Linked DNA regions of Saccharomyces cerevisiae S288C. Changing the gene in region 1 together with any one later gene gives a genetic interaction. Each region holds a gene or a part of one and is shown on either strand. Other genes may lie near its edges.

Evidence for each region.
Region 2: mutations in TPM1 (region 1) and BCK1 together harm fitness more than expected from each alone (negative genetic interaction), as found in Saccharomyces cerevisiae (5 studies listed by BioGRID).
Region 3: mutations in TPM1 (region 1) and SLT2 together harm fitness more than expected from each alone (negative genetic interaction), as found in Saccharomyces cerevisiae (7 studies listed by BioGRID, with this or other methods).
Region 4: mutations in TPM1 (region 1) and TLG2 together harm fitness more than expected from each alone (negative genetic interaction), as found in Saccharomyces cerevisiae (5 studies listed by BioGRID).

The regions. Positions count from the first base shown.
Region 1 is NC_001146.8:478,029-480,750, reverse strand, and holds TPM1 (tropomyosin TPM1), read left to right. Parts: upstream 1-1,585; coding exon 1,586-2,185; downstream 2,186-2,722. Other genes in the region: NIS1 (Nis1p), read right to left, coding at 1-983; EOS1 (Eos1p), read left to right, coding at 2,719-2,722.
Region 2 is NC_001142.9:245,462-252,237, reverse strand, and holds BCK1 (mitogen-activated protein kinase kinase kinase BCK1), read right to left. Parts: upstream 4,984-6,776; coding exon 547-4,983; downstream 1-546. Other genes in the region: KHA1 (Kha1p), read left to right, coding at 1-417; mitochondrial 54S ribosomal protein bL21m MRPL49, read right to left, coding at 5,263-5,748; enoyl-CoA hydratase PHS1, read right to left, coding at 5,994-6,647. UniProt on the Saccharomyces cerevisiae protein: Serine/threonine protein kinase involved in a signal transduction pathway that plays a role in yeast cell morphogenesis and cell growth. This pathway seems to start by SMP3; then involve the kinase PKC1 that may act on this kinase.
Region 3 is NC_001140.6:168,363-172,353, forward strand, and holds SLT2 (mitogen-activated serine/threonine-protein kinase SLT2), read right to left. Parts: upstream 1,983-3,991; coding exon 528-1,982; downstream 1-527. Other genes in the region: YHI9 (Yhi9p), read right to left, coding at 1-199; RRM3 (DNA helicase), read right to left, coding at 2,437-3,991. UniProt on the Saccharomyces cerevisiae protein: Serine/threonine protein kinase involved in a signal transduction pathway that plays a role in yeast cell morphogenesis and cell growth.
Region 4 is NC_001147.6:290,365-293,998, forward strand, and holds TLG2 (t-SNARE syntaxin TLG2), read right to left. Parts: upstream 1,711-3,634; coding exon 517-1,710; downstream 1-516. Other genes in the region: TOS7 (Tos7p), read left to right, coding at 1-189; ESC8 (Esc8p), read left to right, coding at 2,165-3,634. UniProt on the Saccharomyces cerevisiae protein: t-SNARE that functions in transport from the endosome to the late Golgi and on the endocytic pathway.

The DNA.
Region 1 (2,722 bases):
AGTTCCAACAGCAGTTGCTCCTTTCTTGCATGCGATTTGGTGTTCAATTTTCCTCTTCTTTTTGGGTGGTACAACACACTAGGGGAAGTATTGGACCGCCCCACATTCTTGTTATAAACAGATCTTGTGGTTGGGGTCGTTGAATTCTGTTTAATTGTTTTCGTCGCCGTCGCAGGCATAGTCGTCGGGAGACTACCTGGTTGTGATTTGGGTAGTTTCCTACTTATGGAGCGGTTCCTTAGATACGGTGGACGACTACTGGTTGCATACATCTGGCTTCTTAAAAATGGGATAGGAGTTACCGCAGGGTCCCTGCTAGTGAGATTTCTGATAGCGTGTAAGTTTACCGGTTGCGAAGCCAGGACATTTGCAATATCCATTTGTTCCAGTTCTATATAGTTCAAAACGGATGTCAGCTCCTTCTTGCTCCTGAATCTTGACCGTACCTTTGCTTGCCTGTCTTCCCTGCGTATGGAGTGTTGCCTCTTCAAAAACCCTTTGTGAAAAATGAAATTATGATTCTTGCTGAACTTGGAGAGTTCATTTTTGCTGGTAAAGTCTGTTCTTCGTTGTGAAGTGTGTCGAATTGGCTTTGCGTTTATGGTAGGAGAGCGAGACCTCATCTTATAATTCGACCATTGCGTAAACTGTTCCATCACTTCAGTGCTTTCAACCTGGTCCGCTTTGCTTATGTTACGGTTCCTCAAGTGCGAAGCATCGTGGTACTCCATATATGGTTTGAAGCTGTCGTGTGTTATATGAGAGTCATCCGATATTTGCACTATAGGAATCTTGGTATCTGAATTTGAATTTGTGTTCGAATTTGTGTTCGAATTTGTGTTCGAGTTCGAGTTCGAGTTCGATGTAGAATCCACAAGCGCATGTATATAACCTGAAGTGGTAAACCCACCGGTACCCAGGGGAGGTGGGAACAAAGTCGGGGGATAAGACTGAGTCCCAATGCTAGTCTCGTATGTCTCCATTGTCTGTATGGTTGTATTTCAAGACGTATCTGCAAGAAAACTGATGTTTGCGAGTTAGGAACAGGGAAAAATACATGAATTAAGAAATACGAACGATCTTAACTATTTTCAACAGTACCTGAAACATGGATGTAAAAACGTAGAAGATACCCGAATAAAGTGGGGCGCACACCGGACTTGAAACCACTCCTCCTTTACCAAGCACTAATTTAAGCTAATCTAATTTAACGCAGTACATTTTGTATGCGCGGCAGCAGCTTAATACATTGCTGTCATTCACTAATGGAAAAAAAAAAAAAAAAAAAAAATCAAAATATAAAAATAAATATTAAGAACTTAAAAAGACAAACCAGCCATCGCGTGGCGCTAGCACATATATCTTACCCGACGGAGAGCCGGGTAAAGAAGTCGGGTAACCATTAAAATAAAAAATCAGCACACCATAGCACGATCTACGAGAAACGGAAAAGTGTTAGAGATCACATACTGCATACTTGGCAAGAAGAAGGTTCGTTTTTCCCTTCTGATACTGTAAAAGATTAGGTTGGTAGAAGAAATCTACATAGTAGAACTCACACCCCATACACACAAAAAAGGCAACAATGGACAAAATCAGAGAAAAGCTAAGCAACTTGAAGTTGGAAGCCGAATCATGGCAGGAGAAGTACGAGGAGTTGAAAGAGAAGAACAAGGACTTGGAGCAAGAGAACGTCGAAAAGGAGAATCAGATCAAGTCTTTAACCGTCAAAAACCAGCAATTGGAGGATGAGATCGAGAAGCTGGAAGCGGGACTTTCTGACTCTAAGCAAACAGAACAGGATAACGTTGAAAAAGAAAATCAGATCAAGTCCTTGACGGTGAAGAACCACCAATTGGAGGAAGAGATCGAGAAGTTGGAAGCAGAATTGGCTGAATCCAAGCAATTGTCCGAGGACTCTCACCACTTGCAGTCCAACAACGACAATTTCTCCAAGAAGAACCAGCAATTGGAAGAAGACTTGGAGGAAAGCGACACCAAGCTAAAGGAAACCACTGAGAAATTGAGAGAGTCCGACTTGAAGGCAGATCAATTGGAAAGAAGAGTAGCTGCCTTGGAAGAACAAAGAGAAGAATGGGAAAGAAAGAACGAGGAATTGACCGTCAAGTACGAAGACGCAAAGAAGGAACTGGACGAAATTGCTGCATCTCTGGAAAACTTGTGATCTACTTTTGTTTTTTGTTTTCTTTTTCTTTTCCCCAACACGCTGGTCTTTGTTCCTTGTTCTTGAGCAAATCAAACGCTCATGGGCAAACGAAACTAAAATAAGAACCATTTATACAAATACAATAGCTTAGACTATACATCTGTATACTTTTCCCTTGAAGATGTTTTTGTTCTTTACCGTTTGCGTGCTGATTTATGATGTTTTTACATTGGGCGTTATTACCCGAGCGGCGTTTTGTTCGTGGGACTCACACTTGTGCCTGCTCCCATGTTAAGTTTTGCACGGTTTATCACATGGACAAAGGCATTCTCATATTACACAGCTACATGTGATATATATCGGGCGTTTCCACGTGTACAAGAACCTGAAAAGTTTATCGGAAGACTAAGTTTTGGGTTGCCCACCGTCTGTGCATCTACGTGAACACACCAGGGTTTCTCATTTCTTTTTTCTTTAAGTTTTTTTTCTCTTCCCTTCCCTTCCTTTGGTCAAATAATCTTATTTGATTCTTCAGGGTTTTAAAAAACCAGATGA
Region 2 (6,776 bases), on another chromosome or scaffold:
TCCGATTATCTTGGACTATATCTTCTCTTATTGATATGCTATAGAGATGGCTATAATAATGATAATGCATCCTGTAGTATATTTATTAACAGCAAGAATATTGATTTCGCAAAAGATTTGTCAACTGCATTTGCTGAGCATGACTGGCTAAACGAATCTACCATTAAAATTGTGGATATCCCCTTTGAAACGAAAGTTCCAGAAGAAGCAATTGAAAAGCCGTCCTTTATAGAGACTGTGCTTGATGTTGGTTTATCAGATACTGCTTTAGCTGATATAGAGGAGACTACCTTTATTATTGGAGAGGACCTTCCTGATGAAAGTGAGCCCTTCAGCGAAGAGGTGAGGACTGTAATATTTGAAGGGTCGAATCGTCGTTTTGACACCCTTATTGTGCACCATTTTTCGTCTGAATAAGTATCAGCAGAAATTTTTTAATTTTCTTTGTTCTTAATTTTCAGTCATTCCGTCATTCCGTCATCTATGTTTATTGTTCTATATTATTACGTATGCATAAATATCTTAAGTATAGATCGATCCTAATAGCTATTCAGTTTTATTCTCCTGAGAGGTTATCCTTAATTTTGAAGAGTTTAACTTATCATTTGACTTTATAAACTTCGCGAGTCTGGTAGATTTGAAATTGAATGTTTCATTTACTTCACTAAAAGGATGAGAAAGAAGCTCGTTAGCGGTTGGCCTTTTCTCTGGATTTATCTCGAAGCATGCGTCCAGAAAATTTCGTCCGATTTGCGATATCAATGGTAAAGTGTCCTCAGGAATTGGTGGTGCCGATTTTGACTTTCCAATTTTGAACATGGCTGCGACGACTTCTAAGTTGGACCACGGGCGCTTACCAGCAAACATTTCCAGAACGATGCATCCCAGAGACCATATATCAACTTTTGCACTGTAGCCTTGCTTTGTATCAACCATTTCAGGAGCCATCCAGAAGACTGTTCCTCGCATGGTCATATCCGAATTAGAGTATATGTCCTTTGATTTTCTTGAAATTCCGAAGTCACTGATTTTGCAGATACCATCTTGATCCAAAAGTAAGTTGTCTGCCTTCATATCCCTGTGGAGAATACCTTTCGAGTGTAGGTATGCCAATCCTTTTAATACTTGTGTTGTTAAATGTTTGATCAACGGTTCATCGAATCTTCCATACATTCTAATCAAGGATCCCACGGAGCCACCAGCAACATATTCTAAAAACAAACTGTAAATATTGTTTTTATTCTCAAAACCTAAGTATTGAACAATATTAAGATGATCTAAATCTTTTAACGTGGACACTTCAGATCTTAATGCTTCCACGGTACTTAGAATGGCTTCATTTTGTGAGCTATACTTGGGGACCTCAACCTGCTTAACGGCCATCATCTCACCTGTAGTAACGTTTAAACATAAATAAACAGCACCGAAAGATCCCTTCCCTATCATTTCACCCTTCATCCAGGCGAATTCCTTATACTCACCTTTCGAATTTTTGGCTTTATTAATTGACACCATATGGTTTTCGGTCACTTCGACCATTCTTGTACCCCACATTTTGGTGTTCTGTCTTTTTAGTTTTACAGAGTTTTTTCTTGCTAAACTAGCTTCATGTGCAATGGTTCTTATGGTTTTTGTTCTTTTAGGTGTCTTAGCTTGATTCAATGGTTTATTTTTACCGTTAAGTCCATCCTGTATGAACTCGTATGAGCTATCAGGAGGGACGGGACGGGAAGGAGTGCTTGGCTCAGTTCTCGATGAAGCCACATTCTTTGGTGAAAGTAGGCTGTCTAAGGATTTCGGAGATGTTGGTGAAGCTATTCCTTCAGTGATTGGCTTATCTAAGTTAGCCCTTGGGAAGAATTTCTCTAAATTTTGATAAACGACCTCCGGAGATGGTCTAAAGGTCATCTTTCTCTCCATTTTGTCCTGCGTTTGAGAATCATAGAATATTTCGTCAGAATGCGTAGAACTGTTATCGCTTTTCTCATCCTTTTTGTTTTCATTATTAGTCTCAGGAGCTGTTTTTTTCTTGGACCAGATAATGTCATCGGATGAACTAGAATCGTCATCACTATCATCGCTGTCAAACATCGGCGGAGCATCCGCGAATGTTATGTCATTCTCTTCAAATATATCGGCCGCAGATGTCGACGAAACAACTCTTTTTGAGTTACCTCTTTTTAACAATGGTGAAGGAGAATAGAAAATTGAATTTGAAGTCGATACAGTTGAATTTGAGCGATTCACTTTCTGTTTCATTTTCAAAGATGGGGAAGTACTCGTCGAGTCCTGGTCTGTTTTCAACCTACGCATAACATCGTTTGCACCCTTATAAGGTTGCGGTATCAAAACATGAGTCGAAGCAGGAGTATATGAGGAAGTAAGCGAATCAGGAGACGAGCTGCTAGCTTCTATAGGAGATGATAATAATTGTGGCGGCAATGGTTTCGATCTTTTGCTTCTCGAAATTTTTGTACTTGCCCTCACTAGGCGGATCGGTTTATTCTGTTTAGAAGTTGATAAGGTCCTCTGAGGAGAAGTATTTGCGGGAGGCTTGGGAGCTTCTCTTTTTGGTGCCAGTTCTGGTTTTGTATAAGGCGATTCCCTACGATGATTGAAATCAATTTCAGTCCCCTCATCTTTTCTTAGCACTTGAAAACTACTCTTGCTTTCATTTTCTGTTATGGGGGTAGGAATATTTAATTTACTTCCTTTATCTGGTAGGTTGAGTTCTAATTTTGGACTTGTTTTAAAAACCATTTTTGGTGCATTTTCCTCATGAGAAAGAACTTCTTTAATATTCCAATAATTCAATTCTTCAGTTGGATTAGTATTGGAAACTCTGTCATAGTAATAACTCGGGGTTTGGGGGTACCTGCGCCCACTTCCTGATGCATGTTCATCAAATGATGTTATGTCAGAAGACGAAGTGACAATGGAAACATCATCTGTCGATGCTATCAGACTGCTTGTTCCGGACCTCATTGAACTCTTACTTTTCACCGATTTTAAAGGAACATTGTTTTCTGAGGTGAGAGGAGCAGGTTTCGGTTTTTGTTGAAGCTTCATTTGGTCTTTGATATAAATTTTTCCAGAAGTGTTCAAAAACAAGCTTTTTTTCAAAAATTCCAAAGTATCATCTGGAATTGCAGCACCAATATCGCAATCAAAGTCTGTCATATGGAAAGTGACATTTTTGTGATTGATTCCCAATTTTGTGAGAGCAGATTCTTTGAAACTGGATAATTTTGCTACACTTTTTAAGTTTAGCGGAACAAAACTAACATTATCTTTGGTAACCAGAATATATTTATTCTCACTATCATTTAACCCTGTTTTCTTCAGAGGATAAAATTTTTGGTCCAGTAAAAAGTTCTTTACACTATACTTTTGATTATTTACCGGCACTGGAACTGTCTTGTCTGGATTAATACAATCAGGATACGTTTCTTTAAAAGACGCCGTGGTTGAAGAAATTTTAGGTGTATCTTCTGTGCTGATGACCTCCAAACTTCTGTTTGCAGTTTTGGGTATTGGCGGTGGTGATGAAGATGGAGATGGTATATTTACATCTGCCGTTTGTACGGTTAAGGTAGCAGTACTCGAATTCGATTTTAAGGATGGAGTTTCTTGAGACGTTACATAAGCTACCGTATTTGGGCTAGGAACCCCTATTTGGCTCTTTCTTTTGAATTTATTCCATAAATTACCTTTATCATCCGAAGTGGGTAGTGAAGATTGTTTTAAAGGTGAAGACACATTAGTTTCATAGTGTTTAGATTTTCCTTTAGCTAAATTTTCACTAGACAGACTATGACCTTGTGGATTAGGCTTTGTTGGAGCTTCCTCGCCTATTCCACTACCAAAAAGGGAATTTAATAATGACGACTCAGATGAACTACTTTTGTGATGTCTTCTAAATATGCTAGGATACGAAGGAGATGCAGGTGGGCTCGCCGATTTGGTAAGTGTACTGTTAGATTCAATAATTGAGTGCGGCCGAGCCGGTATACTTAACTTGATGTTTGAAGGTGATTTTGCTGAGGAAGCATTGCTCGATGATGAGCCTCTTAGGGATATAAAACTTCTTCTGTATAGTGAACTTGCGCTTTTGGTTTTTTGGTGTGTTGAAGTAGAATGTAAAAAATTCTTTTCATCGGTCTTGGAAGGGCCCGATTTTGTTGGGCTCAATGCAGATTCTGACGTTGATCTAGAATTTGAAATATCCTCTTGCGATTTACTATTTTTTAATTTTGATTTGATCGATTCGCTGGAAGACCTGGAACTTTTAAGTTTGCTAGCGCTCTTCTGACGAATATGGCTATTTGTTACGTTCTTGGTCATTGTTTTTTTCAATAACTGCTGAAACCTGGTATATGAAGCAGTTTTAGTCTGCGGCAAATACTTTTCATAAACAGCGAAATTATCATATGCAAGCAACTTTATAAATCTGTGACCAAACAATTGATGCTTTTTGAAAAACAATATCCAGGATTCTGGAAAATCATGAAATTTAAACCATGAGGTGACGCGATGCATTGTCCATTCATCAGGGTCTGTAGGATCCCACGATAGAATTAGCTTGTCAAAGGACAAACTATTTACGCTATTGCCACCGGAGGATTTCCTCGAATCAGAGAGGCTACTAGGTCCATTGTCATTTTTATAAGAACTGTTTGTAAAGCTCGTTGGGTTTTCAAGCGTTCCAGCTGAGATGTGGTCATCTGTCGTCCAATTAAAGGATTGTTCGATAACTGGCGTGCTTTCGTAAAACTGAGAAGAGGTAGAGTTGGGGGTTAGGTTGGGAAATTGGCTTCTAATATCATCATAAATGCTTTTGCGAGATGTTGCACGAGGGCTTTTGCTTGAACTTTTGGTTGATGCTACCGAACTAGTCGGCTGATGGCCGAATTTCACAGATGAGTTCGAATCAGACCTAGAATGTGTATGTGCTGTCCCCGCTATTTTCCTCAAAAAGGGCATTTGGAGGTGGAGTTGAACTATTTTAATACTATATTTAGTGTTTCGTACTAATGGTCACCCCTCTGCCCTTGTTTTTTTATTTTTTTTTTTGGTGAATCCATTACCTGATTTTATTATTATGCTTACTTTTAATTAACTTGTTGAAATTTCATAGCATTATAACTTAGAAGACGCGTCGGTCTGGAATTGAATGGCCATTGGGGCCGAAGAAAGTGTGTCAAATTTTATTGTTATTTACATGATTTTATACGTATGCGTATATGTACATATCCCTAAAATTCAGTTCATACTCAGTTCTGATATTCTTAAGATTGTCAAATCACCTTTACTCTTTGCATGACGGACCCGTCTATTTCTTCTCTTCGTTACCTCCCTAGTTTGGAAAGCCCTTTTAGTTTTCCCAACAACGGTTGCTTTTAAAGTATACAGAGAAGTATTGATTGGATGACCAACTAGCTTGTAGTTTCTAGATCCTAAAGTTGTTACATCGGTCATGTTTAAAATGTCACCCACCTCCGCTTGCTTCAATTTGAATGGAAGAATAACTCTGTCGCCCTCGGTCACCAAATATGGACGATTATGAATCTTGAATATTGCATATAGTTCATTTGATAATTTTAGTGGAGTTGTATCTGTCTTAGTAGTCTTAGCTTTTGTACTACTGATGCTTGAGGAAGTAGCTAAATTTCTGAATGGATGACTGGTAAATGGCCTATAAATAGGTGTGATTCTGGCCACTGGCCATATGAATTTCAGTTGTAGCATGAAAATTAGAGCAACACACTTAAGATTGTCTCGGCACAGTTGTTTCAGTAGGCTGTGAAGGTCGACTCCGAGTGAGCTTCGACATCTTTCTAAGAGTTCTCTAATTCGGCTACCCTTCGCAATTTTGCTCAATATAAAGCCCGTGCACCGCAAGATACTAGTGATTATGGTTAAGAGCGTTGAAGCCATTTCAATGTGAAGGCTAATATTCTTATAAAAAATACAGAAGAATTTATCTAAAGAATTCAAATTAGTTTCTTCCCGAAAGAGGATCTTAAACTTTTCATGACTTTCTTTCTCTGTGCTACCATGTGTAGGAAGAGCATTGGGAAGCCTGGGATATAAGCGAGCATGGCCGCTATTAAAATTCTTTTGTAAAGTAAAGAATACTGAGATTCAGCTGCATTTAAAGCACAGTAAATAATGCGTAGTTCGCTGGCAACACCAGTGGGGTACAAAATCCAGAACAAATTATATCTTAATAGAATTAAGATCTTTGGTGCGCCATTCTTGAATACCAACATGAAAAAATAATACAAGTATCTGACGATCTCAGTTATAGACCATGCCAGTAATAATGATATGTAAACAACTGATTGAACACCACTTGTGTTTGGCAACAATTGGAAGATGCCGAGGACAACTAGTAGTCTTGAAGACACTTGTGCAACAGTGGTCAGCAATGGGGAACGTACAACTCCTAAAAATGAGTTTATGATCTCGATTATAGCACCACATTGAACAAGGGTAGCGACATTTTTAGTTTGGTAGAAGAATGCTGGCTGTCCAACTTTTGGGTACAAGGAGATGACCAAGTAAAGCAAATAAGACCAACCAACAGCAGAAAGCAAATTATAAAGGGGTAAGAAGGACAATGGTGACGCAAGTTTTTTTGACATATTGTAGAAATTGCTTGGAGTTGTGCTTCTTCTTGTGTGATGATGAGTTATTTTGTATTTTGGATGCTCTTGATGGACCAATTCTGAGTTCGAATAAATTCAACAGAATTTCGAAAAAAAGTACACGAA
Region 3 (3,991 bases), on another chromosome or scaffold:
TGTAATCATACTTTTTATCAGATGGTTTAAATAAAAACGTTGTTTCTGATAAGTTTGTCCAGTTGGCAATTGCCTGCAATTCTTCTTGACTGACTTCATTTTCATCAATTTCCAAGAAGTTTATTACTGCTACTGGATTTCCCATAAAGGGCTTCTCAGTGAATACATCAACTTGTTTGAAAGGTACCATTAAAGTCATATTCTAAGCGCTTGGTTTTTTTTATCTTATCTTCCTTGTGTCATATTTAGACATTTAGTTTAGTATTCTAGGTGCTTAAATAATGAATATTGTCTATAGATGACTAATCATAAATGAACGAAAAGAAAGAATTCAAGAGGCGATAACAAACTTCCGCGGAGTACGATTAAGATAAGCGTCGGAGGAGGAATTTGATATACGAGCTACAACAAGAGCACGTATATATATATATATTTGTATACGTTCATATACATCATATATACACATTGTCTGTAAGCTTACATCTATGGTGATTCTATACTTCCCCGGTTACTTATAGTTTTTTGTCCTAAAAATATTTTCTATCTAATCCAAACTCCAGCTCTTTTTCAAGGTCTAGAAGCGTGCCGTTATCATTCTGAGGCGGAATATCTGCGGTATTTCCAGTGGCAGGTCTCATCTCCATCATACTCTCTTGAGGTCGAGGTGGGAAATCTGCATCATGCCTTGGCAAATTTTGGGAGTGAATACCAAATGATTCTTGTTGTGGCGCAACAGAATTAGACGTGGCCATCTGTTTTGGATAATTTTCTTCACTCGCTGCGGCGTTGCCATTATCCACATCTGAAGGCTGCTGTTGCTGTTGCTGTTGCTGTTGCTGCTGCTGTTGCTGCTGCTGTAATTGTAATTGCCTTTGCTCTTCTAATAGCGGTTGTCTCACAAACAGCCTGAAATCTTGCACTTCTTGTATAACCATTTGTTTTAAGTCCTCCATATCATTAACCGATTCAAAACTAAATTCGAATTTTTCACTACACACAGGTTCGTCAGCTGGATCATGCCATATAGACAAGTAAGGATGCTCCAGGGCCTCATCCACGGTAATTCTCTTTTGAGGGTCAAACGCGAGCATTTGCTCCAATAAGTCTAATGCTTGTGAATTGGCATTTGGGTATAAATTGACAAAAGGTACTTTTGGAATGAAACCTAATTGATGTATGTAGTCCTGAACATTTTTAGAACCAATCCTTCTTAAAGTTTCGTCTGGGGGTGTCCCTAAAACTTGTAATATTTGATTCAATTGATTAACGTAATCCTTTCCTTTGAAGATTGGCTTTCCACCAAGAAACTCCGCTAAAATACAGCCAGCTGACCATACGTCAATCGCCTTGGTATATCCTTGGTAACTCAACATTATTTCCGGAGCTCTATACCATCTAGTGGCCACGTACTCCGTCAAAAATTGACTGTTTTCGACAGGATTCTCCGAATAACCTCTAGCTAACCCAAAATCACAGATTTTCAATTGACAATCTGCATTGACAAGCAAATTGCCGGGCTTCAAATCACGATGCAAGACATCTGCAGAATGAATATACTTTAAACCACATAATATTTGGTATGTGAAACTTTGATAGTGAGCATCCGTCAAAGGTTGACCGGATTTGATGATTTGGTGCATATCACATTCCATAAGTTCCTCATAAAGATATAGTCCATTGATAGACCCGTCTGGATAAAAAACAATATCCATATCATAAAGACATGTAATATTTTTGTGGCCTCTGAAATGTCTCAAAAGCTTTAGCTCACGTAGGGATCTTTTACATAGTAAGGTCTTCGAAAAAACGTTTGTCACTTTCTTGATGGCAACTGTGGTATCTTCGGCAGCTTCTGCAAACCGCGCTGAACACACTATGCCGTATGCTCCATGCCCTATTTCTTTGATAAGTTGAAACCTCTTATCTACACTGAAATCTTGATTGAAGACCTTGAAAGTATGCCTCTCTATCTTATCAGCCATCTCCCAGAATTGTTATACACGCCCTTCAATTATTTCTACTATTTTGATAGCTTCAATAAGAAAATCTGTGGCCTAGATTTGCTGACTGAATGCACAGTTCGTCTAATATATATATATATCTGGCAGACCAGGGTCTTCAATTAAATCTAAATATTTGTGTAGGATCTGATTTCCCTCACTTTTTTTTTCGATATATTCCTGGCTAGATCTCCTTTTTCAGTTTCTATTTTTAACACTGAAACTTTCCATTCTGCCAACATTTCGCAGTCTTCTATAAAAAAAAAAAAAGATAATATAAAAATCGCCGCATACGTAGGCTTAGCTAAATAGATGGCTTCTAGATGAATATTTCGGGATTCTGTTAAATTATACAGATAGGCTCACAAGTATTCGAACCTGTATAGAACAAGAAAAGAAAACTTCAACTAGAGTATATGCATTTATTCGTTGCAAGTCATTTCAAAGTTTCTAAACGTTTATAGAAATCTTTTACTCTTTCATTGGTGCGAATCTTTCCTGGATCAAAGTTTAGGACCTGTAAGGTGTCCATAGTTACCGCTCTTGACAGTGCAACATAAACTTGGCCGGCTTCGAAAATTCTCCTCAAGTCGACCTTTAGTCTTTGAATAGTTTGACCCTGTGCCTTATGAATGGACAGTGCCCAGCATAGCATTAATGGAATCTGAGTTCTTTCTAACCCGACATTTTCTCTGGGAATATCAATGGGAAAGCGCTCTGGGACCATGAGCTCATGTATGTACTTGTTTTTACCCACTGTCCACCTCACATAGGGGAATTTTTCCTTATGCGGAGAGATCTTAACTGCATAGTTTATCAAGATTTTCAAACGTTCCAATCTAGCTAATGGCCTGGCATTCAAATCTTGACGAAACTCCTTTGATTCCTTTAACAAGGGATTACCAATGACCCGACTCACTAATCTCATGTCCATGACAACTTCGTCATCCACAATCTTGTAAATTTCCTTCATTTTCACCACCAGCGATTCTGTAACAAAAAACAAAACTTTTCCCAATGATCCATTAACTAATTCTACATCAGGCTTATTTTTCAACATCATTACCTGTGCATCTTCCTTCAATGCGACAACTTTTTCCACCATTAATGAAGAATCTAGTATCGCTTGGTATCTCTCGGGCGCGTTATCTACAGCTTTAAACTCATATAAATCACCAGGTAGAGACTGTAATTTCTTTACGTTGGATAGTTCAACTTCTCTTCTTGTGGCATACAGTTCTGTAGGAGCAATTCCATCGGCATAGTCTATATCCCTATTTAGGTTCCTTATTGTTTTAGCAATGTCGACAGTCAGCTCTCCGTATCTTATGGCATTTAGAATATCAATTAGTTTGTTATCCTGTTGTCTGAAAACCTTTGTCAGTAAAATCGTTTTTTGAATGCACCGTTTCCACATTTCACTTTCAAAACAAAATTTCACAACGTTATGCTCGTCCTTCTTAGCAACTGGTGGTAGTTGAAAAAAATCGCCTGTCAGGACCAATTGAATACCACCAAAGGGATCGTCGTTCTTCCGAATTCTCCTTGCGATTTGCTCTAATTTATCCAACAGATTACCATCGACCATAGAAATTTCATCAATTATCAAAACTTTTGTATACCTCCATGCGGCCAATAAGTCCTTTTGTGATTGTATTTTTTTCACCAATTGGTCGATAGTTTTGTTCCCGATTCCTATACCAGACCACTTATGCAATGTGGAACCACCAATAGTCACTGCCGCTAGCCCAGTTGAGGCGGTAATTGCAATTGATTCTTTCCCATACAAAGAGCTCAATTGTCTTATGATCGTTTGCAAAATGACCGACTTACCTGTACCCGCACTACCGGTGTAAAAGACATTTGTTCTTTTTTTGACGATTAAATTAACCACTCTCTCTTGCTCCATTGTAAGTACCACTGGCGAAGACGCACTTCGGTGGTTCATTGAGTCCATATTTGATACTGTCTTTCTTAGCAGTGGTTTTATT
Region 4 (3,634 bases), on another chromosome or scaffold:
TTCAACGTTGCCCCAAACCAAGTGCCACAGCACAGAAATCCGGTACCAGGCGTCGGTTTTGCTCCGAATCCTTTACCAAACCAAAGCCCGATAACACAAGGATATAAGCCTGCCTATAAGAGGAGAATGCAAAACAAAAACTTGCCCCGAGCTACTACTTCACTGAACAATCCTTACGGATTTAGGTAAAAAAAGAAAAATGAAGGTTCTTTTTTTTTTTTTATATTCTACAAATCACAATAACCACCAACTTGTATTAAACCATATTTTATCATCTTCAGGAACTACTTATGCACAATATTCGTTCGCCAGTCTTTACTTGCGGTTCAATTTTATCCCATATAAATTTGTATTTTATTATCATACTACATACTTTATTGAAATCATATATTAACCTTTTCACTTTTCTCAAATAGAACGAGCAACAGGTCATATGAACGCTGACTAAATCTCTCAATTTTCTTCAAAGCATATTATAGTTCAAAATCGCGATGCGGTACCGTGAAAGTTTTGTCATCAAAGTAGGTCATCCAAAGCATCATTCTCAGATTCTGTTACTTCAACGATACTCGGCAAGTTGCTCTCTTCGTCATTAATATGGGTATTACTGCCGTCATCATGACTGTTATTAACTGTTTTATTATCATCATTGTTGTACTTGTTGCTACCATTATTACGACCACCACTGCCACCGCCATGTGGTTTCAACATAACAAAGAAAAAGAGCGCTATTACGCACAATGTTAGTAATAAAATGACTTTACATTTTTGAGTTCTCTTCTGGTAGTGTGTTGCTTTATTCAACTCTTTATCTGCACTTTTTAGCTCTACCACTGTATTTTCCAGATTATAATCAATCCTGTCCACAATAGTCCCCTGGTCAACAACCAAATCTTGCATTTCCCTGAAAATAGTGCTCACTTCTAATACACCCCTTGCCAACTGAGTAATTTCTTCGTCACGTTCTCTCAAATATGCTTCTGCAGAAGTGTCATGAAGCTGTTGCTGTCTCTGCAACGTCCTTTTTGAATAGTCTTCAATATCGAGGCCCTCTCTCTTCTCTCTTGCTGCCTCCTCTTCCTCATCATCTAATAATAGCGTGTTCTCTGCACTGGCCTTATTGCGGATAGGTTTCAAATCATCCTTGTTCAAGAATTTCAAGTAATTATTTTGTAATACTCTGAACTTATTACTTTCAGTTTGTATCTTTTCTGCATAGATCTTCTGTAGATTATCTAGTATAATCAGCTCTTCTCGACTTAATTGCTTACCATCCACAAATTGAGAGTTGTATATGGTCTTTAATCGTTTCATAACAGCGTAACATTTCTGCAGCATCTGAATTACTTTGAAACTTAGATCTTCAATCAGCGCCTCATCATGACTCTTGTCTTCAAAGCCAGGTAACGAATTCTTCCTATAAACCTTCGCCAACTGCTCACTTAACCGTCTCACCTCCAGAAGATAATCATCAACATCCTGCGCTATATCAATAAATATGGGTGGTAACGCATCACTGTGATTCTCATGCTTGTTTTTTCGTTCATCTGTCAATCTGGCCGATATATCGTGAGACATATTCATCATCGGGTATGTACCCATTTCAATATCTTGATCATCGCCCAAGGGTGCTTTCCCAGATGAGAAAGTTATGTTATGAGGGAAAGTCCTACGGTATGATAAAAATAAATTAGTTCTATCTCTAAACATGTTTGTAACGACTGCCTAGATCACAAAGCGATAAAATGTACATCAATTGGAGACTTTCCTGTCTTGCCGTACTTATAGTCTATTCTGCTATAATCTATACGCACTCACTTTACACCTTAAAAGCCCAATACAAACCGGTCCAACAATTATAATTCATCTATAGGGCATATACAAAAAAAAAAGGTAGGTGTAAAAGATAATAAAATACAACCCTATTAGCTTTGATAAAAAATTAGTAGGGTTAGAATGTCATATGGTAGGGTGATATAAACGCGTGAACTTTACGCGTTTATATGTACTAAGTTATTTTCGGTATTAGAGAATACCATATCAACGACTAACTCTTAAGCTTTCGATTGTATGAGCTGAAGAAACGGCCTGCTCATTACCAGGATATCTCTTTTTTTTAGACATCAAACAAGAAAATAAGGAACAAGAAATTTGAGGTACAATAATGACAGAAATTATTGATTTAGACTTGGTCGATGACTTTATCAAGAAACCTATGGTCAAACAACAGAAAAACCAGTCTTCAAAGCCTAGGGTAAAAAGAAGGGGTCAGTTGACCTTTGATGATTTCAGAAACATCAAAATTGTAGAAGAACCTGTTGTACTTTCTCACAATAGTTCAATTGACGAATCACTGGATGCTGCTACCCAAAATACTAAAAAGCGGGAGAAATATGAAGGTACCTGTGATGAAGAAATGAAAACTAAAGAAATGGAGGCAAATATGGCAAGCAAATATTCTAATATCAAAACACATTCGAACGACACTAACAAGGTAGAGTCGATCAGTGAACACACTACTTCTAATAATAGACCATTGAATACATTAAACTGGTCACCAAATATTCCTTTACGATATTCTGACTTTGCAAAGTTTATGAGTGATGAGACGGTAACGGAAAGCAATTGGGCGCCTCCCCTTTGCACCCCTCTCCCATATGCAGGCGATGTTATGAAGATCCTTTCTTTTATCGTCAAATTTAAATGGGTGTTCAGCGACGATCTACTGAACCTGTCATTTCAAGATGTGGAGATAGGACTAGAATTAAAGGTGGCTGGCCATTCTGCGAAGAATATTCGAATTTGTCAGGATAAAATGAATCTACTATTTTGCAGTCTTTTGAGGTTATTATTCTGCTCCGAGAAAAGAGCAGACAACCAAACTCATAGAAATTTCACGCTAAAAAGATTTCTTAGTTTGAAAAATCCATATGGAAAACTGGTTGGCAAACTCAGAAGCTTAATCCAGGAGTGGGGCTTACCAAAAGAATGGCGTGGTAATAGTGATATTTTATCTACTCTAAATTTTAATGGAGGTGGTTTGTTGACGATGGAACCATTAGATAGAATAATATTATTGAGATGCATGATCGATTGGAATTGTAGCTACTCCGCACTTTTCCATAATGAAATTCAAAGGCTCACTCACTTGAAAGGCGATACAGGGTTCAACCATCAAACTTTTCACGCCAGCAGGTTTGCTATGTGCGGGGCCAATAACATATTAGATAGTTGTGAAGTTTTATGCTCTTTGATGAGTCAAAAGTTGGAAAATCGAAAGAAAAGGAAGCCCAGCGACAAAGGAAAACTGAGTAAGATCAATAGTCAGATGAAATTTCTAAAGGGTGTTCGGAAATCATTGAGCGAAAAAGTAACTACAGACAGATTACGAGCTGCAGTTAAAATAAATGAAGAATGGGGTGAATATTTTGCAAACGAATTTACACACACACCAATTGATGATCCCACCGTAGACGAAATTTACAAGTTAAGGACATCAGAGTTTATGATAGCGAGAATTCCACGAGTTGGAGATTTCTACTTACCACCATTCTGGATTGGCAACGAATGCAGTTCAGTAAACACTAGTTACAGTTTCAATGACATGTCAACTTATCTTAATTACTTCGTAAAA